Sus scrofa: one gene and its partners. The protein of the gene in region 1 interacts with the protein of each later gene in a pairwise test. Links are inferred from orthologs where the notes say so. Each region holds a gene or a part of one and is shown in the gene's direction. Other genes may lie near its edges. The genes, in order: TRIP6, FRS3, PRKAA2, GSE1, PPP1R16A, RHOQ and LPAR2.

Evidence for each region.
Region 2: the proteins of TRIP6 (region 1) and FRS3 interact in binary tests that used the Homo sapiens proteins (3 or more experiments, as listed by UniProt). The two-hybrid records come from large-scale screens. The link is inferred for Sus scrofa from reciprocal best matches to the Homo sapiens genes TRIP6 and FRS3.
Region 3: the proteins of TRIP6 (region 1) and PRKAA2 interact in binary tests that used the Homo sapiens proteins (3 or more experiments, as listed by UniProt). The link is inferred for Sus scrofa from reciprocal best matches to the Homo sapiens genes TRIP6 and PRKAA2.
Region 4: the proteins of TRIP6 (region 1) and GSE1 interact in binary tests that used the Homo sapiens proteins (3 or more experiments, as listed by UniProt). The link is inferred for Sus scrofa from reciprocal best matches to the Homo sapiens genes TRIP6 and GSE1.
Region 5: the proteins of TRIP6 (region 1) and PPP1R16A interact in binary tests that used the Homo sapiens proteins (3 or more experiments, as listed by UniProt). The two-hybrid records come from large-scale screens. The link is inferred for Sus scrofa from reciprocal best matches to the Homo sapiens genes TRIP6 and PPP1R16A.
Region 6: the proteins of TRIP6 (region 1) and RHOQ interact in a two-hybrid assay, tested with the Homo sapiens proteins (2 studies listed by BioGRID and IntAct). The two-hybrid records come from large-scale screens. The link is inferred for Sus scrofa from reciprocal best matches to the Homo sapiens genes TRIP6 and RHOQ.
Region 7: the proteins of TRIP6 (region 1) and LPAR2 interact in a two-hybrid assay, tested with the Homo sapiens proteins (2 studies listed by BioGRID). The link is inferred for Sus scrofa from reciprocal best matches to the Homo sapiens genes TRIP6 and LPAR2.

What each region holds. Positions count from the first base shown.
Region 1 is NC_010445.4:8,711,841-8,716,164, forward strand, and holds the start of TRIP6 (thyroid receptor-interacting protein 6), read left to right. Parts: upstream 1-1,380; 5' UTR 1,381-1,539; coding exon 1,540-1,648; intron 1,649-1,940; coding exon 1,941-2,068; intron 2,069-2,160; coding exon 2,161-2,286; intron 2,287-2,573; coding exon 2,574-2,960; intron 2,961-3,256; coding exon 3,257-3,350; intron 3,351-3,458; coding exon 3,459-3,628; intron 3,629-4,114; coding exon 4,115-4,293; intron 4,294-4,324. Other genes in the region: SLC12A9 (solute carrier family 12 member 9), read left to right, coding at 1-691. UniProt on the Homo sapiens protein: Relays signals from the cell surface to the nucleus to weaken adherens junction and promote actin cytoskeleton reorganization and cell invasiveness. Involved in lysophosphatidic acid-induced cell adhesion and migration.
Region 2 is NC_010449.5:36,966,622-36,971,236, reverse strand, and holds the start of FRS3 (fibroblast growth factor receptor substrate 3), read left to right. Parts: upstream 1-1,559; 5' UTR 1,560-1,812; intron 1,813-3,487; exon of another isoform or gene 3,488-3,712; 5' UTR 3,713-3,845; intron 3,846-4,615. UniProt on the Homo sapiens protein: Adapter protein that links FGF and NGF receptors to downstream signaling pathways. Involved in the activation of MAP kinases. Down-regulates ERK2 signaling by interfering with the phosphorylation and nuclear translocation of ERK2.
Region 3 is NC_010448.4:155,751,204-155,755,756, reverse strand, and holds the start of PRKAA2 (5'-AMP-activated protein kinase catalytic subunit alpha-2), read left to right. Parts: upstream 1-1,512; 5' UTR 1,513-1,562; coding exon 1,563-1,656; intron 1,657-4,553. UniProt on the Homo sapiens protein: Catalytic subunit of AMP-activated protein kinase (AMPK), an energy sensor protein kinase that plays a key role in regulating cellular energy metabolism.
Region 4 is NC_010448.4:3,245,857-3,248,692, reverse strand, and holds part of GSE1 (genetic suppressor element 1), read left to right. Parts: intron 1-563; exon of another isoform or gene 564-803; coding exon 804-938; 3' UTR 939-2,836.
Region 5 is NC_010446.5:302,752-306,638, reverse strand, and holds part of PPP1R16A (protein phosphatase 1 regulatory subunit 16A), read left to right. Parts: intron 1-833; exon of another isoform or gene 834-918; coding exon 919-989; intron 990-1,064; coding exon 1,065-1,210; intron 1,211-2,046; coding exon 2,047-2,150; intron 2,151-2,226; coding exon 2,227-2,351; intron 2,352-2,440; coding exon 2,441-2,720; coding exon of another isoform or gene 2,721-2,795; coding exon 2,796-2,925; intron 2,926-3,089; coding exon 3,090-3,255; intron 3,256-3,478; coding exon 3,479-3,853; 3' UTR 3,854-3,887. UniProt on the Homo sapiens protein: Inhibits protein phosphatase 1 activity toward phosphorylase, myosin light chain and myosin substrates.
Region 6 is NC_010445.4:94,009,603-94,014,065, reverse strand, and holds the start of RHOQ (rho-related GTP-binding protein RhoQ), read left to right. Parts: upstream 1-1,405; 5' UTR 1,406-1,748; coding exon 1,749-1,890; intron 1,891-2,451; coding exon 2,452-2,510; intron 2,511-4,463. UniProt on the Homo sapiens protein: Plasma membrane-associated small GTPase which cycles between an active GTP-bound and an inactive GDP-bound state. In active state binds to a variety of effector proteins to regulate cellular responses. Involved in epithelial cell polarization processes.
Region 7 is NC_010444.4:58,294,991-58,299,406, forward strand, and holds the start of LPAR2 (lysophosphatidic acid receptor 2), read left to right. Parts: upstream 1-1,390; 5' UTR 1,391-1,647; intron 1,648-1,654; exon of another isoform or gene 1,655-2,065; intron 2,066-2,089; exon of another isoform or gene 2,090-2,266; intron 2,267-3,280; exon of another isoform or gene 3,281-3,282; coding exon 3,283-4,024; intron 4,025-4,416. Other genes in the region: GMIP (GEM-interacting protein), read left to right, coding at 251-317, 453-826. UniProt on the Homo sapiens protein: Receptor for lysophosphatidic acid (LPA), a mediator of diverse cellular activities. Seems to be coupled to the G(i)/G(o), G(12)/G(13), and G(q) families of heteromeric G proteins. Plays a key role in phospholipase C-beta (PLC-beta) signaling pathway.

The sequences.
Region 1 (4,324 bases):
TGTGGCAGACGCCCTGAAGATGAATAAGAATGTGGTTCTTGCCCGGGCTTGTGGGGCCCTGCCCCCTGAGCGACTGAGCCGGGGTTCCGGGGGTACCTCTCAGCCACATCATGTGGACGTGTGGCCCCTCAACCTGCTGCGGCCCCGGGGTGGACCTGGCTACGTGGACGTCTGCGGCCTCTTCCTGCTGCAGATGGCCACCATCTTGGGCATGGTGCCTGCTTGGCACACTGCCCGCCTCCGGATCTTCTTGTGCCTGGGGCCTCGGGAGGCCCCAGGGGCAGCCGAGGGGCGGCTCCGGGCACTGCTGAGCCAGCTGAGGATCCGGGCAGAGGTGCAGGAGGTTGTGTGGGGTGAGGGGGCTGGGTCCGAGGAGCCTGAGGAGGAGGAGGAGGGGGACTTTGTGAATGGCAGGCGCGGAGACGCAGAGGCAGAGGCCCTGGCACGCAGCGCCAACGCCCTGGTTCGGGCCCAGCAGGGGCGCGGCAGAGGAGGAGGGCCTGGTGGGCCTGAGGGTGGGGATGGCGAGGAAGGGCCCACCACCGCCCTCACGTTCTTGTACCTGCCTCGGCCGCCTGCTGATCCCTCTCGCTACCCTCGCTACCTGGCGCTGCTGGAAATTCTGAGCCATGACCTGGGCCCCACGCTGCTCATTCATGGCATCACCCCTGTCACTTGCACTGATCTCTGATGCCGGTTCCTAGTAGAGAGTGTCCAGGTCGAGTGGCCCACTTTGCTTGGCGGGTTGAGGAGGGGAGGTGCTGCCTCTTGCCCTCCTTGTACTTGGGACTCGGACCCTGGTGGAGGTATTAGGGGAACCTGGTCTTTGGGAGAGGGTCCTCGCTGTGCCCAGGGCAGCTGAGCCGGCGGCCACCACTGGCGAGAAGTCAGCAGCCCTCCCCCACGCTGGCCTCCCTCCCTTCACTGGTGCCTTGACGGGGCTGGGTCTCCGCTTGTGACTCTAGGCTACCTCAGTCTCCCCGCCCCTTGCCCAGTAGACTCCTCACCCTTGAGGTTGTGATGTTTTTGTTCCGTTTTATTTTTCTAACTGCTGAATGTGAATAAAAGACCAAAACACTAGGTGCTGGCCGAGCGTTTCTGGAGGGAGCCGGTAGGGGGGACAGAATGCGGGACGAATCTGTATGCGGGGAGGGGCACTGGAGCATCCCAGCGCAAGGGGGCCACGTGCGGACTTGGGGCACAAGAGCCCCGTGTTAAAGGAGGCTGCCTGAGCCTCCCACCCCCACCCCCCGGGCCCACGCTCTGGAGGAAAGCCGCCCCGGCTCGCAGGAGGGGGCCGACTAGGGGAGGGACGGCAGTTTAGGGCCTAGGGGGCCACGTGACCCTCCCCCAGGAATGCGATGACGTCATCGGGGGCGTGGCCGTCCCCAAAATTGGGGAGGAAGGGGAAAAAAAAAAGCCAGAAAAAGTTTCTGTCCTGGAGTCCCAAGCGAGGTGTCGGGGGGAAGAAGGGGTCAAAGTCAGAGCCCTGGGCTCCGTGGGGCCCTGACCGCTGTCTGGAGTCCCCCATTCCAGACCATGTCCGGGCCCACCTGGCTCCCCCCGAAGCAGCCGGAGCCCGCCAGAGCCCCTCAGGGGAGAGCGCTCCCCCGAGGCGCCTCCGGGCCGCCGCCAGCCCACGGAGCAGGTAAGGCAGCCCCAGTGCGGTGCGGAGGCCACCGGGCCACCAACACTCAACTCTGCCCTGCTGCTCTTGCCTCCCGCTGAGCCTGCCCCTGTCGCCCCTTCCCCAAGCCCGGCTGGAACCCGCCGCGCCCCCGCCCTCGCCCTCTCCCAGCCCTCACTGCCTCCTGCCCCATTCTCGGACCCCAGATGCGGGGGGAGAGGGGTGAAGAGGGACCCAAGACCGGTGGCCTCCACAAGTGTCACCCTCCTCTCCTTCCCCATCCCCACCTTGGCTCTCTCTTCCCTCACCCCAGCACTCCAGTCCCACCCCAGGGTCAATTTTTGCCCCCTCCCATCTGAGCAGTGTTACCAGGCCCCTGGGGGACCGGAGGATCCGGGCCTGGCCTGGGTGGGGTGCCATGGAGCACCCCAACGCTCACAGGTGAGCACCGCGATTAGGGGGTGTGGGGGGGACTTAGGGCAGGAGAAGAGGCCATATGAGTTGCATTCTCCCTGCTTTTGCTCTATCTCCAGGGGCTCCCCCCGGACAGGGGGGCCTTGCGCCCAGGAAGTCTGGATGCTGAGATAGATTCCCTGACCAGCATGTTGGCTGAGTTGGACGGGGGTCGGGGTCACGCCCCACGGCGGCCTGACCGGCAGGTGACTCCCCGCTCCTGTCCCTCCCTGTCCTTGTCCCCCACCCCTCCCCCGCAACCTGGTTCCTGCTCTGTATTCTCACTCCTCTTCTCCCTCCACATGGGGGATGCACCCACCAGCGAGGAGGAAGCTGGGCCACCAAAACGTACTAGGTTGCCAGCCACTCAAGGACGGGCCCTTGTCAAAACCAGTGCTTACCTGGGTGCCACAGACACAGGGTTCAGGGGTTCCACAGATGTGTGTTCTGGATTGGGCCCAGCTCATGCCTTCTGGTCTGTGCTTCTCTCCAGGCTTATGAGCCCCATCAGCTCCCTGCCTACCGCTCAGGCCCTGGCTCCCTGAAGCCGAATGGAGGGAGTGTTCCTCCCACACCACTCCCAGCGGCCTCCTATGGCGGCCCCACGCCGGCCTCCTATGCTACGGCCAGCACCCCCGCCGGCCCTGCCTTCCCTGTGCAAGTGAAGGTGGCACAACCAGTGAGAGGCTGTGGCCCCCCCAGGCGGGGGGCCCCTCAGGCCTCGGGGCCCCTCCCCGGCCCCCACTTTCCTCTCCCAGGCCGAGGTGAAGTCTGGGGGGCTGGCTACAGGAGCCACCGTGAGCCAGGGCCAGGGGGTAAAGAGGAGGCTGCCGGAGTCTCCGGCCCTCCGGGAGGAAGAGGAGGCGGGTACGGGCCCCAGGTAAGCCCTGGGCCCTGGGATTTGGGGTCCTCAAAGACAGTTGGATGCTGACTGGGTGGGGTGGGGGTGGGGGTTGATGTTCCAGTTTTCAAGCTCTGGATTCCCTGGGGGCGGGGGGCAGGTCAGGAAATAAAGGAGGGAGGGGACTAGATCTGCACACTGGCTCCCAGAGGCACACCCCTGGCCCCTGGGCTGGGGTGTTCTCCTGTGAGCTTTTGGGTGGAATTGCCTGATCACTCTCGGTGACAGTATTGGGAGGGAGAGGTAGGATTGAACCCCTGATTCTCACCTCCCAGGTCCCCCTGAGCCAGCCTCCCGAGGAGGAACTTGAGAGGCTGACCAAGAAGCTGGTGCAGGACATGAACCACCCGCCCAGTGGGGAGTACTTCGGTGAGCTGCCCCCCGCCACACACCCCGGGCAGGGGGTGGGGGGAGGTCAGGTAGACAGTGGGTCTGGCTTCCCAGTCTATGGTTGACCCTGACCCATCCCGTCCCCAGGCCGGTGTGGTGGCTGCGGAGAAGATGTGGTTGGGGATGGGGCCGGGGTTGTGGCCCTGGACCGTGTCTTTCACGTTGGCTGCTTTGTCTGTTCTACGTGCCGGGCCCATCTCCGGGGCCAGCATTTCTATGCCGTGGAGAGGAGAGCGTATTGTGAGAGCTGCTATGTGGTGAGTGGTGGGGGCTGGCGGGGGGTGGTGGCAGATGGAGTCAGCAGCAGGAAGCAGGGGGCTTCCATCCAGAGTGGGAACTAGGTGTCCAAGCCCCAAAGAATAAGGCTCGAAGCAGGAGAACTAAAACTAATAAAGAAAAAGGCATGGATGAAATAAGTAGCTGTATACTGGTTGCTGGAGAGAAAGGACAACATTCCCCTGTAAGAGTGAGGCATTTATTTTCGGTTTAGGGGAATGTGCTGAATCCCCACAATGCCCTGGTGAGGCAGCTGTTACTCCTGAAGGAAACTGAAGGTCTGAGAGCTTAAATATCTTGTCTGGGGAAGCTGCAGTGCTAGGATTTGCACGCATACCTGTTCAAGGCCACCTTTAACTGAATCACATGCAGGGGGCTACATAAATAGGTGGGGGAGCTGGCAGGATGCCTGTAAGGGCTGCCATGGGTCACCCCAGCCCTGACCTTCCTGCTCTCCTTCCTGACAGGCCACCCTGGAGAAGTGCTCCACCTGTTCCCAGCCCATCCTGGACCGGATTCTGCGGGCCATGGGGAAGGCCTATCACCCTGGCTGCTTCACTTGTGTGGTGTGCCACCGCGGCCTCGATGGCATCCCCTTCACTGTGGATGCCACCAGCCAGATCCACTGCATTGAGGACTTCCACAGGTCAGCTAGGTCATCAACCTTTGTCTCAGGA
Region 2 (4,615 bases), on another chromosome or scaffold:
ACCTTCGAGAGCAGGGATGGATTCTGCCAGCAGCTGGGCACAGAAGGGCATCACCCTGGCCCCTGTAAGACCCAGCTTTGGGGCTGGGAACAGGGCTTGGACTGAAACAATTATACGGCTTCCCAGACCTGAGCTCCCACCCTCTGCTATCCTTCCCTGCTTCCTGGCTCCGCACCCATCTGCTTCCTGCCCGTTCTGTCCCCCAGCTCAGGTTTCCTGTGGAAAGCAGCCAGGATGGGCTGCTCACACTCGGGGCCAGGAGTAGCCACTTCCTCAAGCAGCACTACCCGCTGGGGAGGGGGTGATCACAGGAAGGGGGCGCTTCCGGGGCCCCAAAGGAGACTTGCACCCTCCCTTCCAAGTTAATTCTTGTTTGCATGAAATCGTCCCACACAGAGACAATGCTCAAAAATCAGTCCTTGCCCCTGACCCTTCATCCCCTCGGCCCAGGACCACATAACATCACCTCTACTTAGCGGGGGCCCCACCTTACCCCCACCTTACTAACATGCTGGATCCTTCGAGAATTTCCTCCTCCCCTCCCCCACACAAGGGACTGAATACTTTCTCCTGCCCCCGCGCAAGTGTACCCGGGCTCAGGAGTTCGACCTTCCCAACCCACCCCTGAAGGGCTAAGTCTAGGGATTGGGGGTCGCGGGTGGGAAGGTTTCCCAGGACAGTGAGAGGAAGACAGGGAAGAGAAGTGTCAGGTTCCGCCAAGTGCCCTCTCGACAGATCCCCAAAGTTTTTTCTTGGGCTTCGCGGGGCCCACCTTCGAAGCGGGGCGCAGTGTTGTCCTGGAGTCAGCGGGGGTCCCAGTGTGTCTGCTCGGAGTTTAAGAGAAGGAACGGGACTCTGCTGGGGTCTCACCCTCGCTACGCGCCGGTGTCCGGGCCGCTCTGGACTGGACAGACCCCGCCGTCGGGCCCCTCAGCCGGTCCCCACCCCGAGGCCCCAGCGCCGGCCTCTGCCCGCCCGCGGAGAGCGGCCCTTCCTCTCCCACGCCCCCCTCCGCTCGCGGGCCCTGCCCAGGAGCTGGTAGAGCCCGGCGGCTCTGGGAGGGGCCTAGGCCGGGAGGGGCCTAGAGCTGCAGACTAAAGGAAAGCATTTGTAGGGCTCTCGGGTGGAAAGTGAGCAGGCTTCACTGCCGCCATGCCCATGGGATTAGCGCTGGAATCGCTTCCCTGCAGATGCTGAGCAGACACCGGGAGTCACCGTTTAGCCGGGTCCTCAAGCACTTGCGGAACGCAACGCCCTTCGGAACCTGCAGGTCCCCCCGCCAAGACTCTCCTTCTGGTGTCCTAGTCCCGCCTCTGTCTGTGTGTCCCACCCCCATCTAGATCCCTCCCCCTTGTCCCAGCTCCTTTCCGGGTCCCTGGTCCTGACCTCCTCCTTTCCATCCCTTTAGGCTCCCCCCACTGCCCCCCCCCCCCGCGCCTCCCGCCAGTCTAGCGATCCTGGGAGTGGAAATCTTTGGTCCCACTTCTGGACCCCCTCAGCCCCGCCCTATCCCCGCCCCCGCCCCAGGCTCCGCCCCGCCCCTGCCAGGCTCTCTCAGCCTCTGGCCCGGAGCGCCCTCTGGCGTCTGCGCATGCTCCTTGCTCCCGACTGCAAAGTCCTCCAAAGAGACCTTCTAGGCTGCGCGCCGGTCGCCCCCAATCGGGTCCGCCCGCCCGCAGCGTCTCGTTGGTGCTGCCGGTGACCTCCGACCCCGCGGCTGCGGGGCGGGGAGGCCTCAGCTCCGGGCGGGCGGCGGCTGTCTGCAGCGGGACCCGGGAGCGGGGCCCGGCGCCGCCCGGGCCGCGGGGCGATGTGAGTCGGGGCGCGGCGGGGCGGGGACAAGGCGGCTCCACCGAGGCCGCGCCGCGCCGCACCGCAGTCTCCGCTCCCTCCCGAGGAAGCCCCTGGCGGGCGGGCGGTGGAGCCCGGGCTGGGGGGCGGGGATCTAGGGACGACGCGCGGCCCCGACCTCCCCTATTCCTTCTCGGGATCTAGAAATTCCCCTGTCAACCCTGTCACCTAAATCTGCCTCTAATCCCCCGGATCCACCCCACCCCCACCCTCTGGATACACCTTCGCGTGTCCTGGACCTTCAGAACCCCCTCACTCCTGCGAATTCCCCTGGTATGCCCACAGAAACCACCATTCTCTCCTGGATACCACCAGATGTTTCCACCGCCCTGAAATTCCTGAGTCTTCATATTCCCTCATTCTCCTTGCACTGTGCTCAAATCCAAAAAAATTTGCCCACGTTTCCCCAATCCCTCTCATACATTTTGAATCCCCAATAACCTCATACTCCCACCCCCAATCCACCCCATCTCAGACCAGAGCCGTCTCCTGCCTCTCCACCCCATGTAGCCCCCCCCCCATTGGGCTGTCATGCTATATCCTGGTATCTTAAAGAGAATTGAAGGGGACAGGAAAAGGTGCAGCGCCCTCCCCCATCTTGCACCCTGCAGCTCCTGGTTTCACCCCCAGACTCCCTCTTGGTGGCTCAAGCCTCAATATTTACCCAGCTGCCTGTTCTAGTCCTTGCACACCTTCCTCATCCTGCTGCCCCCCTCCAGGAAGTAAGCCAAACCAAGAGGGTGGGAGCCCTTTTACCTGGGAAGTTGTCCAAGGATGCTGAGCAACAAAGGGTCCTGGGAAATGACATTGCTTTTCTAGAGCAGGAGGGTGGGATTTCAGGGATTTCCTGGGTCCTGGCTTGTCAACTAGTCCACCTAGGGCTCAGATTACTGAAGTTTTGGTTGGTTGGCAGCATTTATGTTAAATTTCCAGCCTTTCAGAACTTGGAGAACAGAAAAATCTATCAAGCGTCCGAATGTGAGATCGTAGGAGCTTGTCCTGGAAGAGGAAAATGTTGATTTTAGTGATGTTTGTCCTCCCTACTAACCTCTAGAGGTTATTGAAGCTAGAAGCTCTGCAGCTGACAGCTGTTTCCCTTCAAAACTCAGGCCTTGGGGTGGGAGTTGGGGGAGTGGAGGATCAACCTGGCAGACTCCCAGATATAAGTTAGCAACAGAAAAGACGGGACTATTGGGTTCCTGACTCTTAAGCCATTGCTTTTCCAGTATATCTTAGTGTCCTTTTGAGAAAGCTCTCTGCAGAGTTCAAGTTCTCTGCAAAGGTAAGGTGGTGATCTTGGTTGTAATAGGATTCAGATGGACATGTGACTTAAAAATGCCCTGGGCTGCCTTAGACTCACTGATGCCAGAGGGGGCCTCTCAGGGTCTATGGGGCTTGGAGTTCATGGTCCCTTTGCCTTTGATCTCATGTTCGTCCTAGATGTTTCTATTTCTTTTTTTTTTCTTTTTTCTTTTGTCCTTTTTGCCATTTCTTGGGCCACTCCCGCTGCATATGGAGGTTCCCAGGCTAGGGGTCGAATCAGAGCTGTAGCCGCCGGCCTACACCAGAGCCACAGCAACATGGGATCCGAGTCACATCTGCAACCTACACTACAGCTCACGGCAAAGCTGGATCCTTAACTCACTGAGTGAAGCCAGGGATGGAACCCGCAACCTCATGGTTCCTAGTCGGATTTGTTAACCACTGAGCCATGACGGGAACTCCAATAGATGTTTCTATTTCATTAGGACGTGCAACAGATATCCAGGTGGGGTGAACTGAGAGCAAGTCATTTTCATTAACAATTGGGGGTGAAGATGGAAGGTTTCTGCTAACCTGTGGTCTCTGTCTCCTATGCTAGGTGAGCCCCAGGGAGATCCAGGTGACTTCTCTGCAGACGGCTTGTCATGACGCCCCACCAAGAAAGGGGGGAATAAAGTGGGGGTCCTTCCCCATGCCCCTCCCATGGTCGGCTCCCCGATGGCCTGGGTGAGGTGAGAGCTGTGTATAGGAGCCACTTTTCTGGAGCTTCCCAACTTGGGAGAAATGGAGGGTGCGGGTCAGGATCGTTCAAGGCTTTACACATTCAGGGGGAGTGCCAGAAGGCCATCTAATCCTACCAATTGATTTCTTGCTGCCGTTTGCCACCCCATAACTTGTTTGGGATTGGCCCATGCATTCGCTTGCTCCCTTAGGTCACTGTAGCCTGGTGGTCTCCCCTCCATCCTGGGCACAGGTCTGACTGTTGTGACGTCTAATCCAAGTGCCTTAATCAGGGAGGGAAAAGCCAAACAGTAAGGCTTCTCGTCTCCACTTTGGCCAAAGGAGAGCAAACCCAGCATTTAATTTTTTAACGAAGAAATGCCTACTCAAGGTTTTAATTGTTTGATCTTCTGAATGTATCTCTCTTTTGGTTTTCTCTTTTTTTTTTTTTTTTTTTTTTTTTTTTTTTTAGGGGCACACCTACGGCACATGGAAGTTCCCAGGCCAGGGGTCAAATCAAAGCTGCAGCTGTTGGCCTACAGCCACAGCCACAGCAATGCGGGATCCGAGTCACATCTGTGACCTACACCACAGTTCGCAGCAGTGCCAGATCCTGAAGACACTGAGTGAGGCCAGGGACCAAACCCGCAACCTCATGGTTCCTAGTCGGATTCATTTCTGCTGTGCCACGATAGGAATTCCTTGAATGTATCTCTTGACCATAATGTAATATCGCATTTGAAAAGAATATCATGAAGATAAATTTGAGGGAGTTCCCTAG
Region 3 (4,553 bases), on another chromosome or scaffold:
AGAATAGGTATTTTTTCTACTTGAATGAATACTGGAGTGACCATCAATCAAATGAAGGTTCAGCATCAAAAATAACTGGCTATTTTCTCCAAATCGTCAGCTAGGTAGACTGTTTTTTAAATAATACTTCTGGTCAGCAAGAAAGATGATCCTAAGAATGAACAAAAATAGCCTCTGTTCAACAGCTGTGATGTCTATAATTTATAAGATGTGATCATCTCTCATCAGATTGACTTGATGGCTAAACAAAAATGGATGTATGCTCGCCATTGGTATATTTGTCACTTCTCGGAAAACAAACTTCTGTTACATCTTATTCTTTCTGATAAATATATTTCTCTCTTTACATAAAAATAGTGAGATGAAATTTCCTGTTTGGGGAATGTGACCTTGAAACTCTACTGTCATGCACAAAGTTAAAAATGTTCAGTTAATCCTTAAACACTTATTCCCAATCAGCAAATAATTTTTAGTCACGGAAAGAGGAAATTTTGAAGACTGGGACACAGTAGGAAGCAAAGAAGGGAGAGAGGAGGAAGTGAGAACCACTTCATTACTATATTACTGTATCTTGGCAGTTTTTAATGCTTACCACCTCCCCCCACTTCAATCTTTACCTTTAATTTGTGCCTTTATATTGCCCTAGCTCACCGTAGTACTTCGTCCCTTATGTATCTTACTTTCCATGCTCTCTTCATTTCCGTCACTGTTTCCCTTTTGTACGGCTCCATCACAAATTATTTATACACTATTTATATAGGTATGTGCTAAAATACAATCAGGTAACTCTTGGGTCTGATTGTTCCGAGAACTTTGTCCAAATTAGTGAGAACTGAGAACTCTAGAATGGAGGGTCTCCATCTGTAGCTCAAAATGATTGAGAATGAGGAAGTACACCGAGGTGGGTCACTGAAGCCAGCACACAATTGGGTTCTGTGTGTGTGTCATGACCTGTATCATAACACTGAACCTGAGACTGGAGAAACTTCCTTGTAGCTCTCCTTAGACTGACCTTCGAGCAAGGTCGTTCACCATCGCCTCCCGCCCGGATCCCTTAGACCCCTAAGCTGGTTTTCACACCCCTCTTTCCTCACACTTCAGGCCTGTTTCTCTTCTCCACCTTCAGCTTGCATCTCTCCGCATTTGCTAAGATTCGGCCCAAATCCCACCCTCATTTCCACTCCTTCGGGTTCTCCTCACCGCCCCGCCCCCAGATAGCGGGGCACCATCCGACCGCCACCGCCTCCCGCGCACACCTGTAGTCCTCCGACCCTCCCTCCACCCGGCCTCCTGCGCCCAGCCCAGGGCCCACCCTGCGCGCCCGCCAGCTCCGCACACCTACGTCCCCGCGCCGGCTCTGGCCGGGGGTGTGCGCTCTGCCCACCCGCTCGAGCCCCCGCCCCGCCCACCTGCTCGCCCTCCCGCCCCCCGCCCGGCCCTCGGCGCCTCCGGGCCCCCGCCCCCCGCGGGCCCGCTGCACTGTGGGTAGGCGGCGGCGGCGGCTGCGGCCGCACTGAGGAGTCCGCCGCGGCGGCGGCGGAGCGAGGCTGCGCGCGCCGAACATGGCTGAGAAGCAGAAGCACGACGGGCGGGTGAAGATTGGACACTACGTGCTGGGGGACACGCTGGGTGTCGGCACCTTCGGCAAAGTGAAGAGTTGAGTACGCGCCGAGGCCGTTGCTCCGGGCTGCCAGCCTCGCGGGAGGCCAAGCCCGGGAGCCCGGGGCCGCCAGCAGGCAGTGGGTGGGCAGCGGGCGGCGGGGCCTGGCGGCAGGTGGAGCGGCCCCACCAGGGCCGCGCGGAGCCCGGGGGCTCCGGGAGGGCAGCCGTCACTTCCTCGCCCCGCGGCAGCGGCCGGGTGAGGGGACGCGGGAGGGGCGCAAGCGTCCCGGGGTCCAGGGCCGCCGCCCACCGCCTTTCTCGCAGTCGGGAGCGAGACGCTTCTCCCGCCCGACTTCAGTGCCCTGCTCTGTGACACCGGGAGACTGGACTGTTGGGCAAGGTGCCTTCCTGCTGGGAGACTGTACGGGTAGGGGTGGGGAATGACACGCGTTCCTGGTAGTGGAGTTTCCATTTTTGCCAGGTGCCCCGTTAGGTCCTTCACAGGTGATCTCCTTTGAGCCTTAGGGCAGATGCAGGTGTTATCCTCACCTTAAACGCGAGAAAACAAGGACCCCCTAGGGGTTTAGGAACATGCTCAAGGTCACACTGGGATGTAGGTCTAAAATGTCCTCCAGTTTGGCCAGCTGGGAGGTCCCTGCCGTCCGAGTTCTTTCGTGCTCCCTTGCTGGGTTGGTGGGGCTGAGAGTTTAGGGGGTGCTCCCCGAGCGAGCGGTTGGGTGGGTCTTTCTCCTGGCTGGAATGCAGCTGCATTGGATCGGGGTTAGTTACAGCTGGGAGGTCTGAAGGTTGGTTGGTTTGTGTAAAATGGTCCTAGGAAGGCTTCTGGGATGCGGGAGAGAAAATGCGGTCCTTGGTGCTGGATCTTGGGGGATGCCGGGCTGAGGCCAGAACTGCTAAGGCGTTTGTGCTCTGCTGAGGTCTGTGTTCTTGGTGATGCGGTCCCATTTTGGGGTGTAGAAAAACAGGTTGCTTTTGAATTATTTTTACTTCTTCCTAGTTAAGTATTGAACGTTCCTGTTTTTGTTAATAAGAGTCACATGGATTTAATTAATTTGTCCCCCTCCCCCGAACTAGAACCGGCTATTTAAAAATACTTCTCTTTTGATTGTTGCAAATCCATTACTGTAAGTGTAGTTTGCCTCCCCCCCCCCCTTTGCTCTAGAAATGTTGGTTAGGTAGTTTGTAGATTTTATGGAAACTTCTATTTCCTCAAAAACTGATGTTTTAACTTTAAATTAAGGCTGTTAAATGTTTATTTCTGTGGCACGGACCAGCTCTTATTTACTTCCACATGTCTGATATCCTTTCGTTTGTTCAGAACGCACTGATTGAGTGCCTACAGTGTTTCAGGCACTGTTCTAGGTAATGGGGATACCCTAGAAACAAAATCAGATTAAAATCTCTCCTTTTGTGGTGCTTTAATAAATTCTTGTAGGGGAAGACAACAATTCCTTTGTGTATGTATATATGCGTGTATATGTATGTATATATGTGTGTATGTATATATTTGGTGCCCTTGAGAAAAATGAATGAGAGAAGAGAGGATAGGGAATTTTGTGAGGTTAGCAATTTTCAATAAGTTTATCAGGCAAGGCCTCACCGGCAGGGTGGTATTTATCTAAAGACCTAAAAGATTTGTAAAATTCTTTGACGTACTGTGAGAGCTGTGAAGGCTTTTAGTTTTGAAAGACTTTATAGAGTGGACAGTTAGGAGAATATATTTAGAATGACTATAGACTCAGGAATTGGATTAACGCTTATAACATTACTGAGGCCTCTTGTGTTTTGATGTTATACACCCAAGCCTTTGCCATCTGGACAAGTACACTCTCCAGGTTATATAAGGTACCCTGCGCCCTTTGAAATTGTTAACATTTTTGTTTGTCTTTTTAAATTTTTCTGTAATCTGAATGTTGACTAAAACACCTATCAGGTCAGTCAGCCCATTGGCACAAGACAACTTAAGTCTCTTTTGTATATACTTTTGAGCTGCTTCTAGGCACTGACGACTTAAAATGTAAACCATCAGAAAAAATGCTTTGATTTATGAGAAATACTTTTCCTGGAAGCCCCTGCCCAAAGAGCAGCCAATTGGAGGAGATGTTTCTAACACTATACTAGGGCCTCTCTGCAGTAAGACTGTGGTTTCTCATCCAAGGTTATAGACTTAGTACAATTGCTTAATAAAAATTATAGAAGTTGCTACATCTTGAAGTTAGTCATTTACCATTGACCCTTGAACAGCACAGATTTGAACTGCATAAGTCTACTTCTACAGATTTTTTCACTAAATATGTACTACGTAATACATAGTCTGAGGTTGGTTGAATCCTAGAATGTGGAGCCATGGATATGGAGGGCTGACTGTAAAGTTATACATAGATTCTCAACTGCCCAGGGTTCAGTGCCGCTAACCCTGGTGTGGTTCAAGGGCCAGTTGTAATTCTTCAAGGGACAGGAAGCAAAAGCACATGCATTTTTAAAAACAGCTTTATTCAGGCATATTTTACGTATCATAAAATTCACCCATTCCAAGTGTACAATTCAGTGATTTTTTTAGTAACTTTACCAAATGGTGCAACCATTATCGTAGATCAATTTTAGAACATTTTCATCACCACAGTAAGATTCCTTATGCCCATTTGTAGTTAGCCCTCAGCCCTAGAAAACTGCTAATCTGTTCTCTGGATCAGTCTGCTTTCTCTGGACACTTCTTGTAAATGGGATCATTCAATATGGAGTCTCTCATGTCTGACTTTTTAATGTAACAATGCTTTTGAAGTTTGTGCATGAATAGCATCTGTCAGTGGTTTGTTCCTTTTTATTGCCAAATAATATTCCATTGCCTTTTCAGTCACCTGTTGATGGACTTTTTTTTTCTGTTTTTGGCTGTAACAGATAGTGCCACCACAAACATTTGCATGCAAGTC
Region 4 (2,836 bases), on another chromosome or scaffold:
CCCACACAGGGCGTTCCCTTCGTGGCTGAGCGGTTAAGGAGCCCAACTAGGAACCATGAGGTTGCAGGTTCAATCCCTAGCCTCGCTCAGTGGGTTAAGGATCCAGCATCGCCGGGGGCTGGGGTGTGGGTCGCAGATGCAACTCAGATCTGGTGTGGCTGTGGCTGTGACATAGGCCGGCAGCTGCAGCTCCAATTCGACCCCTAGCCTTGGAGCCTCCATATGCCACAGATGTGGGCCTAAAAAGACAAAGACAAAAAAAAAAAACCCACCCCACATAGCATGTTTTGAGGGGAAATCCTGCTCCTGTGCGATCAAAGCTTGGCGTCCTAAGGGGAGATTCAGGAGTCAGCCGAAGGCCCCAGGTTTAGCAGAGTTCCGCTCCGGGAGGGTGACGAAGCTCTTTTCCCTGCCGCCGAGGGACATGAAGCCCTGTCTCACCCTCCCTGCCTGTGATTTGCTAAGGAGCAAAGCTGTTGAGGCCAGACGGTCCCCCACACACCTGCAGGCCCTGCAGCCTTAACCCCCCTTCCTCCCAGCCCGCAGGGAGGGGGCAGGGGCACCTCTCGGCTGTGGGGCCGGGCTGGTGTGGGCACCTCCGGCTTGAAGCTGCTTCTGTGGGCATCCAGGCCTTGGGGGCACAGCTGGACCGGTCCTTCCCGAGGCCGAGGCTGCTGTGGGCCAACCCGCCCTCTGCCGCCCAGCATGCGCAGTGCTGAAGGTCGGGGGCGCGGACCCAGGCGCGCAGCACAACCGAGAGAGGTCTGCAGGCGTTTGTTTTACACGCGTTTCCTTCTCTCCAGGAGCTGAGGAGCCAGAAACAGAAGATTGTTTCAGAAAGGGAGCGCCTCCAGGCCGAACTGGATCACTTACGGAAGTGCCTTGCGTTGCCGGCCATGCACTGGCCCCGGGGTTACTTGAAGGGGTACCCCAGGTGACGCTCCGTCGCACGAGGCCGAACCTAGAGTAGAGAAATAGTATCTATTTTATTACCTTGAATATTTAATATTTTTCACTGGGAGGTTTGAAGCTTAAAACAATGAGAATGTGCCATGCATGAAGCAAAGGATTCCAGGCCCCAGAAAAAGAACGGACTCGCCTCGGCTTCCAATGCCATTCAGTCGTCTTGGTCATCAGCCAGCAGCCACGTAGACGCCCCTAGTTTTTCTTTCTGGAGGTGGTTTTAGTCTTTCCCCACGTCATCGTTGTTCAGCTGAAAGCGGACGCTCCGTCACCAACACTAACACGTGGTCCTCTCTCGCCCCTGGGGTTGTGTGTTCCGGAGTCTGGAGCAGGAGCGGCCGCTCGGCTCCCGCTGCGGTGGGCGCGGGTCTCGGTCCTCGGGGCCGGAGGGAGGCCTGCTCCAGCTCCCGGAAGGTGGGGTGCGTTTTAAGTTAAAGGGCTTATTTGTTTCAGTTACTTTTCCGGAAAATTCCCTTCCAAGCACCAGGTCCTAGGAGCACACAAAGCAGCCGTACTGAAGCCTCAGCCCAAGGCTTTTCCCCGGAAAAGCTCTCACCTAGAGAGAAAGCCCATCAGCCAACGGAAGGTACCTTTTTGTCACTCCACGGGCACACGCGCAGAGCTCTGTGCGTGCGTTGAGTCACAGCCACGGATCGTTCCTGCCGTGGGGGGTGTTTTCATACAAACGTCAATTTTGAGAGAATAGTCAAAGGTGCTTCAGCCTTGTACTGTGTATATATATTAAAAAACAAAGTTTTGTATGTTTTTATTACTTTAATTATTGTTATAAAAAGCCTGCCATTTTTAATATGTGGTTTGGGGGGATTTTTGTTGTTTTCCTGTTTGGGGGTTTTGTTTGTTTTTTGTTTTGTTTTTCTGGGCAAAAAAGAAAAAAAAAACCCTTGCTTTTAGTGTTTGTACTGCTGCTGGTCAGGACATTAAAATACTGAAGTGTTTTTAAAAATTAAAAAAGAAGAAAAGTAAAAGAGCTTACCACTGGCGCCTATGCGGTCGCTTCATTTCCGAGTTGCCACCAGAAAGTGCCGTGGAGCCGCCACGCTGCCGCTTCCCTCCTGCTGGCCCCTCCTGGCTCCGGATGGCCGAGAGCCCCTGGGGCCCGTTGCTGTCCAGCGAGGAGGGGCGGCTCGAGGCCCTCTGCGTGCCGTCACGCGCGCCCAGCACAGCACCCAGCCCCGGGCTTTGCTCAGAGGCCCTTTCAGGAAGTGAGCGGTTTCTGTGCTAGGTTCTAGGGTGTCTCACAGCAGTCGGAGAGCAGGTGCAGAGTAGAAACGTTAGCGGCTTTTTTAGAGGCAGAGCTTTGTAACAGCCTCAAAGTGGGGTGAACAATGAGCAGAACGTCTCCCCCTCTTGCACCTGCCGTGACAGGCACAGGAGCAGCTGGACAGGGATGACCCGTGTGAAGCCTGGGGCGGGGAGAGGCGGGGGCTTCCCTCTGAGCCCACTTATTGCTTGTTCAGGCAGGGTTTGAGCTCAATCAAGAAGGCATCTCTTGCCTGAAGGGCCTGAACCAGAGACCAGAGCAGCCAGGGGTCAGTCAGCCTTGGGGGCGAGGGGAGGAAGCTGGAGCCTTGCACTGCGGGCGCCCCCTGCCCTGGGCTGGGGCCAGGGCTGGCGGACTGTCAGGAAGGCCACTCACAGTGAGCAGGGCCGTGCCCTCAGCCCCAGACCGCACCCGCGCACGACAGCTTGCTGGCAGATGGCGCTGCGTCGCTTTCTCTGTTCCCACACAGTTTGCATTGTCTGCCTGCCAGGAACCTTCCAGTTATTAGCAAACGCAGACAGAAAGTGCCGCCAGTATTATCAGCAGTCTACCAGCGCCTTCCCCGCTGCAGAAACGACAGAACTAAGGGCT
Region 5 (3,887 bases), on another chromosome or scaffold:
GGCCCCGGCCCCTCACCCGGCTCAGACCCCAGAGGTCTGCCTGCCTCACAGAGCCCCAGGTCTGTCCCTGCTTCTTCAGCCCCTGACGCCTGGTGGCCGGTGACCTCAAGGGGTAGCCCTCACGGCGCGGGCTCCTGCTGCGAAGGTGCCGCCAGGCGGGGTGGCCTGGGGCTTGGCTGGGGGTGCTCGTGCTAGAGTGCTGCTGGGCGTCCCTCGGGAGGGTCCTGCCACCAGCCGCTTGGGTCTCTGCCGACCAGGGAGGATGCTGCTGCCCACCTGGGCAGGTCAGCACACGGGGAGCAGGGCTCTGCCTGTGACCACTCCCCCATCAGCACCTTCCCAGGCTTCCTGTCCCTTCCCCTTGTCACACGTGCTCTCCAGGGAGACTCTCCAGGGAGGCTCCCAAGGGCTCTTCCTGCCTCCCTCCAGGGCAGAGGCCTCTGCTGTGGAAGCTGGGGTGCAGAGGGCAAAGAGGGCTGGGGAAGGGGGTGCGGCCATGGTGGGTGTGCCCCAAGGCCAGCTTGGGGCTCTGGGGAGCTCCTGGGGCCTGCAAGTACCAGAGGAGGGGCGTGTGGCAGGGGAGGGGGACCTGGGGAGCACAGGACCCACAGAGGGATTGATAGGGAGGGTGCCAGCACCCAGCCCCAGTGGGTGTCGGGACCGCCTCACACAGGATGGCCCCCCCGGGCGTCAGAGGGTCGGAAGGCCCTGCTGGAGGCGTCGGACTGCTGTCTGTGCCTGGCTTGGGGTCCCAGCTCCTGAGTCCTTGGCCTGGGCTCTGGTGTCCCTCCCACCACCTGTGCCACCACCGCCCTCTGCTCTTCCGGCTACAGCACAGCAGTCGGCCCAGGCCCCCAGATGCCGGAGCCTGAGCGGGACTCCTGTTCCTGTCCTGACCACCCCCGCTCCTCCCTGCAGTCCGCCAGCTCCTCGAGAGTGGGGTCAGCCCCGACCTAGCCAATGAGGACGGCCTGACGGCCCTGCATCAGGTCAGCCATTCCGGGGCCAGGGGGGAGGGAGGGGCGGCGGCCTGCCCTCTGGTGCTCAGGCCGTGCGCTCCGTAGAGCTGCATTGATGACTTCCGGGAGATGGTGCAGCAGCTCCTCGAGGCCGGAGCCAAGGTCAACGCCCGAGACAGTGAGTGCTGGACGCCCCTGCACGCCGCGGCCACCTGTGGCCACCTGCACCTGGTGGAGCTGCTCATTGCTCGGTAGGGCTGCTGGGACCAGCGTGGCTGGGGTGGGCCTCTGTCAGGGGGAGGTGGCAGCTGGGCCAGGGGGGCACAACCTTAGGTACCTCCTTGTGGGCAAATGTGCTTGGCCCTTGGTCTCTTGTGTTCCCACTTACCCGCCTGTTCCCTGGCCTGGAGCCCAGGACCTGGGCAGAGGCCTCAGCTGCTGCCTTCCCCGAGGACGCAGCACAGGCTCAGCGCAGTGTGGTCCTCTGCTGCCAGGCTGCTGGCACTCCCTCCAGCTCTGGCCTCCTCCCCTTCCCAGGGTCTGCACAGAGAAGTACTGTCGGGTCAGAGCGGTGACGGAGGCAGCCCCGGGGGCGGGGGGGAGGCTGGACACGGGTGAGGCCACTAGCAGGGGGGGCAGCGCAGGCCTGGGGCTCTGCACGGCCGCTCTTGTGAGCGGAGAGGGTGGTTCGCTCCACCAGGACCTCGAAGTGCCCCCTGCACAGTGCCCCTCCCTCTGACCTCTCTAGTCAGAGTCAGGCTCAGGCTGACCTTGGAGCATCAGTGGTGGGTGTTGCGGGGTGGTGGCGGTCTATCCCCTTTGCAGGGGGAGCGGCTGTATGCAGCGTCACAGGGCAGCAAAAAGGGGCACACACCCCCAACTCCCCCCTGCCCCCCCGAGGCCTGGCATCCTCTAGGGGCAGGTGGGCCCACTGTACCTGGTCATAGGGCAGATGGGGGCCGGGAACGAGTGGAAACTGCAGGGCAGCCCTAGGGCGGGCCTCCGAGAGGGCAGGCCTCCGAGGGGCCTGGGGGCCTCGCTGGGGGAGAAGGGCCTGTGGCCAGCACCCCATCCATCCTCCCCGCAGCGGCGCAGACCTCCTGGCAGTTAACACTGATGGGAACATGCCCTATGACCTGTGCGAGGATGAGCAGACGCTGGACTGCCTGGAGACGGCCATGGCCAGCCGTGGTGAGTGCCACCCTGCCCACTCACCCACCCGGCCAGGGGTGCCGGGCGTGCTTGGCCTGAGCCTCCTGCCCTGCAGGCGTCACCCAGGACAGCATCGAGGAGGCCCGGGCCATGCCGGAGCTGCACATGCTAGAGGACATCCGGTGCCTGCTGCAGGCGGGGGCTGACCTCGACGCCCCCCGGGACCATGGGGCCACGCTGGTGAGGATGTGGCCAGGTGGGGCCCAGCAGGGGTGTGGCTGCTGGCTGGGCCTGGGGCCAAGGCTCAGGGGCAGGCGGTTTTCGTGCAGCTACACATCGCCGCAGCCAATGGGTTTGGTGAGGTGGCTGCCCTGCTGCTGGAACACCGGGCCAGCCCAAGCGCCAAAGATCTGGATGGATGGGAGCCGCTGCATGCTGCGGCCTACTGGGGCCAGGTGCGTGCCAGGCGGGGGCGGCGGGGGAGGGCGCCTGGCAGCTCCGGAACCTTCAGCAACCTGGGCTCCCGGCCACAGGTTCACCTGGTGGAGCTGCTTGTGGCACACGGGGCCGACCTGAACAGCAAGTCCCTGACGGACGAGACGCCTCTCGGTGAGCCAGAGCCTCATCCTTCCGGTGTGGGGGAGGGGCAGGGGGCACCCATGATCCTCTGCCTCTCCTCCTCAGATCTGTGTGGGGACGAGGACGTGCGTGCCAAGCTGCTGGAGCTGAAGCACAAGCACGACGCCCTCCTGCGCGCACAGGGCCGCCAGCGTTCTCTGCTGCGCCGCCGCACCTCCAGTGCCGGCAGTCGGGGGTGAGTGCCCGCCCAAGGGCCCTTGGGCACCCCCACTCTGCAGGCTCTGCCCTGGGCCTTGTCCCAGCTGATGTCACCTGGCAGGCCAAGGTGCCCATCGGAACTTGGGGCAGAGTCCATAGGGCGGGCGGCATCCTCCCCACCCTCCCCCTGCCCTTCCCCAGGAAGGTGGTGAGGCGGGTGAGCCTGACCCAGCGCACCAGCCTGTACCGCAAGGAGCACGCCCAAGAGGCCATCGTGTGGCAACAGTCACCACCCACGAGCCCAGAGCCTTTCGAGGAGGATGAGGACCGCCAGACAGACTCCGAGCTGAGGCCACCACCCCTTGGGGTGAGCCCTGCCCGCCTCCCCACCCCCACCCCGCCCCCGGGCTCCACCCTCGCAGCCTGGCACCAAGGTCCTACCCCGTACCAGCCTCAGAAGCTGGCGGGACCAGTGCCCGGGGCGTCAGCTGCTGCCCCCACCCTTGTTTCTGCCCCAGGGTGCCATGCATCCTGGGGCCAGGGGCTGGAGAGACCCTCCTGATGGCCTCTGGGGACTGCTCCCCACACAGGAGGAGGACGTCCAGGAGGCCAGGCCGCACAACGGCCGAGTGGGCGGCCCCCTGGGGCGGCACCTGTACTCCAAGCGGCTGGACCGAGGCGTCTCCTACCAGCTGAACCCCCCGGAGGGCACCACCGCAGATGCCCTGGTCCGGGCCAGGGCCCACCACACCCTGGCTGAGCTCAAGCGCCAGCGGGCCGCAGCTAAGCTGCAGCGGCCCCCACCTGAGGGGCCCGAGGCCACGGAGTCTGGCCCGCCTGTGGACATGGAGGCCGCCCGGCTGGAGTGTGGCTCCAGGGCTGGGGGAGACCCGCCCCTGCTGAGACTCACAGCCCCCTCAGAGGAGGCCCCCCTGGAGAAGAGACCGTGCTGTCTGCTCATGTGAGGGCTGCTTCAGGGCCCCTGCCCTGTGGACCCCA
Region 6 (4,463 bases), about 85 Mb from region 1:
GATTTGGGGTTGAGAGTTGAGGCCTGGGAAGTGTGGCATGAGCACACAACTGAGCATTTCCCAAGGTGTGTTCCAAGTCCTTGAATGCTAGAATTCAAGGAGGAGGCTTTGCGATAACTAACCACTTCACCTCTGTGTGTCTCAATTCGCTTACCTACAATCTTAGGGAGATATAAGAGATGGTCCAGCTGACCTCGGCAGTGCCTCTCAGAATAGCATTTTCTGATCCTGCGAAGAGATGAAAGGAATCGATTGAACTCAAGTCAGCACTTGAAGGGAAGGGGGGGCGTGGTGTCAACGTGTGGGGTATCCTCTTTCCCCCACCCCTCTCCCCCAGGGCCTAAAGTTAGAAGGAGCATTGTTGGCCAGTGAATGGGACCTGGCCAGACGGGTGTTATAAAGCTTCTCCCAGGCAGGAGGATAGGAGATGTCGCTTGGATCATAAGCCACATCTTAGAGCTCTAGAGTGTATCACTCCTCAGGGACCACAACCTAATACCTTCGAGGGACACGGGGACCATAAAGGGGCCTCAGAGAATGTCGCCTGTAGGGGGAGCACAGGTACACCTGCCGCCTCCACAGTCTCGGAGTCTCCCTTTTCTGACGGATCAGGGGGAGGGGGGGAATGCATCTGTGGTTCAAGATGCTGTAACTCCCTTAGTCACCAGATTCATAGTAAATGATTCAAGCTCTGCTGCGAACAGCATAGGCTGGTGGTGGTGGGAGGGGGGAACCAAACAATAAACCAGAAGTCCCCACTTTCCAGCTCATGGACCACCACCCCTGCCCCATCACTCCGCGCGCCTTAAAAAAAAAAAAAAAAAAAAAAAAATTTTTTTTTTTTTAACTCTCTTGGCCTTTCTTCCTTCCCGATTTCTAGTTCTGTTGTGCACTTAGAGGCCGATAGGCTGGATCCTGCCTTCCGGGTGGAATTTAAATGTATATGTATAATTTTGCAGGACTGTTGCGTCATCGTAGCAGTCTTCGTGGTTCCCCAGGAGGCCTCCACGTCTTCTCCCAGCATCGGGGGCTTTGGACGCTTCTGAGAGCTGCCGGCACTTTCGCGAGGAGCCCTCGGCTCCTCCCGAGTGCTGGTCTCCAGCCCCCTCCCCCAGCCTCACCTTCCTCCCGCTCGCTCTTCCTCGGCTCCTCCTCCTCGCCCCCTCCCTGCAGCCCTCGCGGGGAGTCAAGCTAGGGTGAGCCCGCAGGGCCGAGCAGCGGCTGCAGGCTGGGCGTGGGGCGCCGGAGCCCGCGGGCGGGCGGGCGGGGGCGCCGGGCGGGTGGCCCGCGATCGGGGGAGGCGCCTGGGCCCGCCCTCCTCTCGGGCCGAGCCTGGAGGGGGCCTGGGCCGGCGCGGGGCGGGGAGAGCCTCCTGGCCCCTCCCCTCCGCTGCCCTCCCCAAAGTTGCCGTCTCCCCGGGGGCCGGCCAGTCTTATGATCCAGCGGATCCTCCTGGGGAGGCCGGGCCGGGGAGAGGGCGCGGGCGCCGAACAGCGGGGGCAGCGGGCAGGCGCAGCGACCGGGGCCCGGGCGGGGATCCGGGCAGCGACCGAGGCGGCGGCAGCGCCCCGGGCCCGCCGCCCCTTCCCCTCGGGCAGGGGGAGCCGCTGCATGGGGCCGGGGGGGCGGCCCTGCTGCGCGGAGCGGCGGCGGCGGCGGCGGCGGACCCCCCAGGCGGGCTGGGGCTGAGCCCGGGGCCGGGGCGGGGGCTCCGGGGGGACCATGCCCGGAGGCCGGCCGGCCGCAGCATGGCTCACGGGCCCGGCGCGCTGATGCTCAAGTGCGTGGTGGTCGGCGACGGGGCGGTGGGCAAGACTTGCCTACTCATGAGCTATGCCAACGACGCCTTCCCGGAGGAGTACGTGCCCACCGTCTTCGACCACTACGCAGGTAAGCCTCGGAAGTGCTGACTAAGGGGCCGCTCCCCGGGCCGGGAACTTTGGAGCAACTTTGGCTGAGCCCCCTAGCCGCCTCCCCTGCGCGCGCTCCCCGCCCCTCCCCCGCCGCGCCCTCCGCGGGGCGCCGGGCCCCACCCCCAGGCTTTCCCTCTGGCAGCCCCCCGCCTGCCCGATCCACCCCTCTTCTCACCCCCGACCTCTGTGCGGCGTCCCTACGCCCAGTACTTCCTAACCCCCTCTGTGCCCCGGGCCGACCTCGTTGACCTTCCTAGGGCCGCCTTCCTTACTTCCCAAAGCCCTGGGGGAGGAGGGTGAGGGAAACGTGGCTATGGGACTTGGGAAAAGAGATTGGGCAGCTGGGGCGCCACATCGCACCCCGGCCTCAGGCCACTTCCCGGTGAGCCGGGCACAGGGGAAAAGGGGTGGCATCCCCGGAGGCGCGCCCGCGTGCCTCCAGCTGGGTTGGGAGAGGAGGGTCCGGGTGGGGAACGAAACCGCCCCGAGCCTAGATAATTGTGAGCTTCTCTCCCCGCCCCCACTTCTGCCCTTGCAGTCAGCGTCACCGTAGGGGGCAAGCAGTACCTCCTGGGACTCTATGACACAGCCGGACAGGTGAGTGTCTGGGCTTCTGGCCGACACCCCCCTCCTTTTCCCCAATTCAAGACGGTTGCGAAGGGCCTTGGAAACTGTCTAGGAGCGAGGGTGTGTCTGCGAGGTTCCCTCTGGATCAAGTATCTCATTTTTTAAGTCAGCGAATTAGGAAAAGGAAAAAAAACAAAAAACAAAAAACCTTGGCAACATCGGGACCAGCCCACCCCACGTGAACCCCTGGGCTGAAAGTTTTTGCCTGTGTGTGCCTTCTGTCTGGTGCCTGGCGTGTGGGTCCCAACTCCTGTTGCAAAGTGGCAGTGGCCAATCCTGAAGCGCCCTTATTTTTAGTTGCCGATGACCAGGTCTCCCCTCACAGCCTTTGTCTGGTCCCTCATTGGTGAGTGGTCTGCCCGCCAGAGGAGCCTGATTGGTGGGAAATGGCATCATCTAATATGATGGGAAGGCATTTGGTCCTGGTTATGTTTATTACAACATCATTGCACTCTGGGACTCGAGTCCCTGAAAACGTAATTTGTGGTGTTACCAGAGGACCGCAGGGGAAAAAAAAAGAAAAGAAACAACCATCCAGCCACTCCCTGGGGCAGGGAGAGAAGGAAGGGTCAGGAGTTCAGTGTGAATCTTGGAGGAAGAGTTTTTTTTGTTGTTCCCTGGCAAGGCCAGGTGACTTTGTCTGGGTTTTCCTTGGGAGAGATTATTGTGCAGAAAGAAAATGCACCCTCCACACGTCAGCCTCGGACCATTATTTGCAAATTAGAGGTGGCTTCTAAAGGATTAAGATCTCCTCTCTGTCTCTGTCCCAGCGCCACCCTCCTCCTAGACCCATTTTTGCTGTGGGCCTAAGATGATGTGTGTGATGAAGTTTTGCAAAATCCAGCCCTGTGATTAGACCTGAAAATGCAGGCAGAAGTTTCCACGTGTCGTCCAGACTTGAGATCTTGAGGACATATGAGCTGCTGAGGGCCTTAGAGAGTGTCTTTAGGGGATGTCCATAGTAGAGTTTCCTTATCTGTAAGATGAAGTTTTAAAAATTCACACCATTCCCCTGGGCATATATGTTAGATGCTTAGCACTGAGTGTGGCACACACCAGGTAGGTCAATAAAGAGGAGCTCTCCTTTGTAGCTCTTCTAGATTTGGGTGTCAAAACTGTAGTTCCAGGTTAGTCTGACAAATGTCTTATTGTGGGGGGGGCATCTTGATGCATCCCTCATTTCTATACTATGAAGTGATAGGAGCATCTGAGAACTGAGAAACCATTGGCAATATGAGATGCCTGAGGCCACCCCCTTTTGCCAAACTGACCCAGGTCGGTACAACCACTTCTTAGCTTTCCAAGGGTTGTTTTTCATTGCCTGCCTTGTACTTACTCTCATTACCAGCTAGGAAGAAGGGCAAGAGGCAGAACCCATTCAATCAAATAAGACCAACTTTTAAGCAGTGTAGTTGATAAACAACAGGTTTATCAAATAAGACCAACTTTGAAGCCGTATGGTTGCTAAACAACAGGTTGAAATTATTGGCTGAAAGAAGAGCTTTTTGAGACTCATGTTGACTTTTAACTTCTCTCACTATGGCCTCTTCTTCCCTTTTCTTTGTTGCTTGTCACCGTGACCATTTTTTGACCACGAACTTTATTCAACAGGACGTGTGTATGTCAGAGCTGTTCTGTGCACATTCAAATCTGACTCATATTTACTGACTTCCTTCTGCCTATCAGGCCCGGGGCAGCCACATGCAAGGAGTATTTTCGCCCCTCAACAGCTCCATGAGATGAGTGATCCTCCCTCTTAGGCAGATGAGGAAACGAGGGCTCAGCGAAGCTGGGTTGCTGATCTAAAGTCACACAGCTCTTAGGGAGTGTTGCTGGGATTTGGACACGGGTCTCAACCTGCTCTAGTTTGAAGTGGTTGTATACATGGGGAGCCACGGGAAGGGTTGCAATGCCACCTGGGTT
Region 7 (4,416 bases), on another chromosome or scaffold:
TACAGAGATGGCTGTCACTTTCCAGGCTGGCCCTCTGCTGAACAAAGGCATCCCTGCCCTCACCGAGCCCACAATTGAAGTTAATGACACTGTTCTTCGGGGGCGGGGAGGGGGGGGTGGCAAGCATTACACTCTTAGGGGCATCATTTCTCCTAGATACCAAAACTGCAAAGGAACTTTTACATGTCCAAGTGTACTGAAGAACTGAATTTTATTGCTGGGGGTCTCATTCTTGGGTTTCTCCCTGCAGATTCCAACTTTGCAGTGTGACCAGGGAGAGGAAGTAGCCAAAGACACCAAAGACGAGGGAGGGGAAGGTGAGTGTGTTGGGGGGTAGCCCAGGGGTTCTGGGGTTGCCCCTTCCCTGGGGTAGTTTGGCTGAGTGATGACAACAGGGTAAGGGGCATCCAGAGGACTTAAGGGTGCTCAGCATTGACCACTCCATCCTACAGTGTCCAGCCAAGGCCTCCAGGACTCACCCCTAGGGACACAGTCCCGTGGCCACTTCAGCCGCCAGCCAGTGAAGTATCCCCGGGGGGGCGTGCGGCCTGTCACCCACCAGCTGTCGGGCTTGGCCCTGGTGGCTTCCAAATTGTGCGAGGAGACCCCTGTCACATCAGTGCCCCAAGGTAGCTTGCGGAGACGAGGACCCGGCCCTACTGCCACCTCCTGTGAGGGCAGCCCTCTTCGACGCGCCCCGCTACCCAAGCATTTTGAGATCACTCAGGAAACAGCCCGGCTACTCTCCAAGCTGCACAGTGAGTCTGTGCCCAAGGCCACCTGCTGCCCAGACCCTCAACCTGAGGAAGCCGAGGACCATCTCTGACCATTCCAGCACTTTGACCAAGAAGCCCAGGATTGAGAAGATGGACCAGGAATTCAATGTTGGGTTGTCTGGAGAGTTCCTATGGGGAAAGACTACACCGCCTAGGGGAGAACTAAAACCCTTTTGGGGGCAATGTATAGGATTCCCTCACTAGACACAGGTTAGTGTTGAGCATCAGGGCCACTCAGGTTCAGAGGTCATTCAGGTTCAATACTCAGGGTCAATACAAGTCATGAGATCCTTGAGGTCCACTCTAGTCTCTGACCCCTGGGACAGAGGTGCTTTTGGCTAATTTGATTGTGGCCACTCCCCCATCTCTGTGCCTCATTAGTTGATCCCGAGTGACCAGCTCTTGCAGAGTGTGGGCAACCCAGACTCCACCCACTCACAGGAATCCTGGTAGTCCCTGGGGTCCTGTGGCCTCTGAATAAATCGTGTCCTTTATACCCTTGAGCGTCTTTCTTTGCCAGAGGGTGACAAGAGAGAGGTTGGCGAGGGCAACATCCAACCGCCCCATTTACCCACCAGGGAAAACAAATCCCCCATTTTTTCATTTCAGAACACTCTTGAGCACCTCCAAGCAGTAGAGGCTGGGCTTGGGCACCTGGCTGAGTCACACCAGGCCAGCCCTCCCAGAGTTCTGCGTCCCCATAATCAAACAAATATAACAAAGTGCAGATAACCGGGACAATAGGGCTGTGTGCTCTGGGCCGTGGGAGTCCAGGGCCGCCACAGGCGTGGGCCAGGCAGAGAACAGCACTGCTGGGGGCGGGATTTCGAGAAACTGGAGTGCGGCCGGACAGTCAGCTGAGGCCAGAGAGGTCCGCGGGGCAAGGGAGGCTGAGGCCCGCGGTTGCTCTGAGCCGGCAAAGCTGAGGCGGGGCTGGGGTCCGGGCGGTGGGAGCCGGGTCGGATCAGGGCGTGGCTTGGAACTCGGCGACGGATTGGACGCGAGGGAGCCGGCGGGGTGGGGACGGGGCGGGGGCGCGGACCCTGAGACCACCCGGAGGTGGGCCCCGGCGGCACCAGGTCACGGCGGGAATTCTCGGGCAGCGAGTGACTCAGCCCCGCGAAGGCCCAAAACTGCGGGCACGTGAGGTGTGCCGGGACTGGGGGTGGGGGTCCCGCGCCGGAAGTGGAGAGGGGCGACTGAGGGGCCGCGAAGCGGAGAGGAAATGAGGGATCTGCGGTTCCGGGAGACCCTGTCCTCGCTGCGCAGCGGAAGCTGGGCTGCCTCAGGTGTTGGGGACAGGGCGGGGCTCACCTAGGTGGTGGGGGCGGGGCACTGCGGCTGGGGCGGGGCGGTGGGACCCCGCCTCCCGCGCTCTTTTGGTCGCTAGTGCCCAGCGCAGCCAGACTCTCCTCTGCTCCCGCCGTGGTCTCCTGGCCATGGGTCTCGGGCTCGAGGCCGCCCCATCTGCGGCGTGACGGGCGGCCCAGGTGAGGCCAGCATGGACCCGGGAGGGAGGGCGCGGGGACCCGGGAGGGCGCGGCACGTGCCTGCGGGCCCGGGAGCCGCCCCCTCTTCTCCCTCCTGCTCCTCCCCCAGCCTGGGGGCTCCAGGTGGCCCCGCCAGCTGTAGCCTTCCCGACCTCCCCTTTTGTCCCAGAGGCCGCCAGGGTCCCACCCGGAACGTCCTGGTGTCCCGCCCGCTTCGAGAACACTCGCGCCCAAAGCCGCCGGCCAAGTTATGGGGCTGCCTTACTGCCCCATCTAACAGCCGGGTTCACCTCCACGCCCCAGCACCGACCGCCAAGCAATGGCCCCACCCTGTGCACACACGCCCCCTGGGCTTTGCTCCCTGCACTAATCCCAGCACCAAACTGACCCGCCCTTGCCTACTTTCACAGCTCACGCCCCTTTGTCCTACCCTAACTGCTCCCGCCCCCAATAGAGATTGTTTACAGATTGGCACTGCGTGGGCAAATGAGATTTGTTTTGCTTCTTTAATTAAAAAAGCAAAAAACAGGAGTTCCTGTCGTGGTGCGGGGTGGAAACAAATTCGACTAGGAACCCTGAGGTTGCTGGTTCGATCCCTGGCCTCACTCAGTGGGTTAAGGATTCAGCGTTGCCGTGAGGTGTGGTGTAGGTGGCAGACGCGGCTCAGATCCCACGTTGCTATGGCTGTGGTATACAGCTCCGATTAGACCCTAGCCTGGGAACCTCCATGTGCCCTGGATGTGGCCCTAAAAAAGACAAAAGACAAAAAAAAAAAAAGCAAGCAGTCGTTTGATTTGGGATATATCTTTATAAGAATCTTATTAGTAATTAGGCAAGGGCTGCCCAACCTCACCCCACAACTCATGGTCACCCTTGTCCCCATCACTGCCACTTTGCCCTGAAGGATCTGAGTTTGATACCCTTGACCTTCCTGTCTTAACTCTTCTGACTGCTCTTCCCTCCTGTGTCCTTCCAACAAAGACTGCCTGTACTGATCTTTCCCTCTCTGCCCCCAGATGGTCACCATGGGCCAGTGCTACTACAATGAGACCATCGGCTTCTTCTATAACAACAGCGGCAAAGAGCTCAGCTCCCACTGGCGGCCTAAAGATGTGGTTGTGGTGGCACTGGGGCTGACTGTCAGTGTGCTGGTTCTGCTGACCAACCTGCTAGTCATCGCAGCCATCGCCTCCAACCGCCGTTTCCACCAGCCTATTTACTACCTGCTGGGCAACCTGGCTGCAGCCGACCTCTTTGCAGGTGTAGCCTACCTCTTCCTCATGTTCCACACAGGCCCACGCACAGCCCGGCTCTCACTTCAGGGCTGGTTCTTGCGGCAGGGCCTGTTGGATACAAGCCTGACGGCATCTGTGGCTACACTTCTGGCCATTGCTGTGGAGCGTCACCGAAGTGTGATGGCCGTGCAGCTGCATAGCCGCCTACCACGAGGCCGGGTCATCATGCTCATCGTGGGCGTGTGGGTGGCTGCGCTGGGCCTAGGGCTGCTGCCTGCCCACTCCTGGCACTGCCTCTGTGCCCTGGACCGCTGCTCACGCATGGCCCCCCTGCTCAGCCGCTCCTACCTGGCCGTCTGGGCCCTGTCCAGCTTGCTTGTCTTCCTGCTCATGGTGGCTGTCTACACTCGCATTTTCTTCTATGTGAGGCGGCGGGTGCAGCGCATGGCAGAGCATGTCAGCTGCCATCCCCGCTACCGTGAAACCACACTCAGCCTGGTCAAGACTGTTGTCATCATTCTGGGTAAGTGGCACCCTGCTTCCCCCCAACTCCTGCAAGACTTCATAGAGCATAATGTGAGGGGTGTCCTCCAAGGAGGTGATACCTGAGTAGAGACCTGAATGCTGGGGAAGGGAAGAGTTCCAGGCAGAGGAACAGAAGGTGAGAGCCCCCCAAATAGGACCAACCCAGCACTTCTAAAGAGGGGAGAAGCCCACGTGACTGGTCTTCAGCACGGCCTCGAAGGGCACAGATAGAAGTCAGATTTTGTTCTGAGTTCCATGGGAAGCCATTAAGAGTTCTTAGCCTGGAGTTCCTGTCATGGCACAGCAGAAACAAATCCAACTAGGAACCATGAGGTTGTAGGTTCGATCCCGTGCCTTGCTCAGTGGCCTCACCAGGTTAAGGATCCAGCG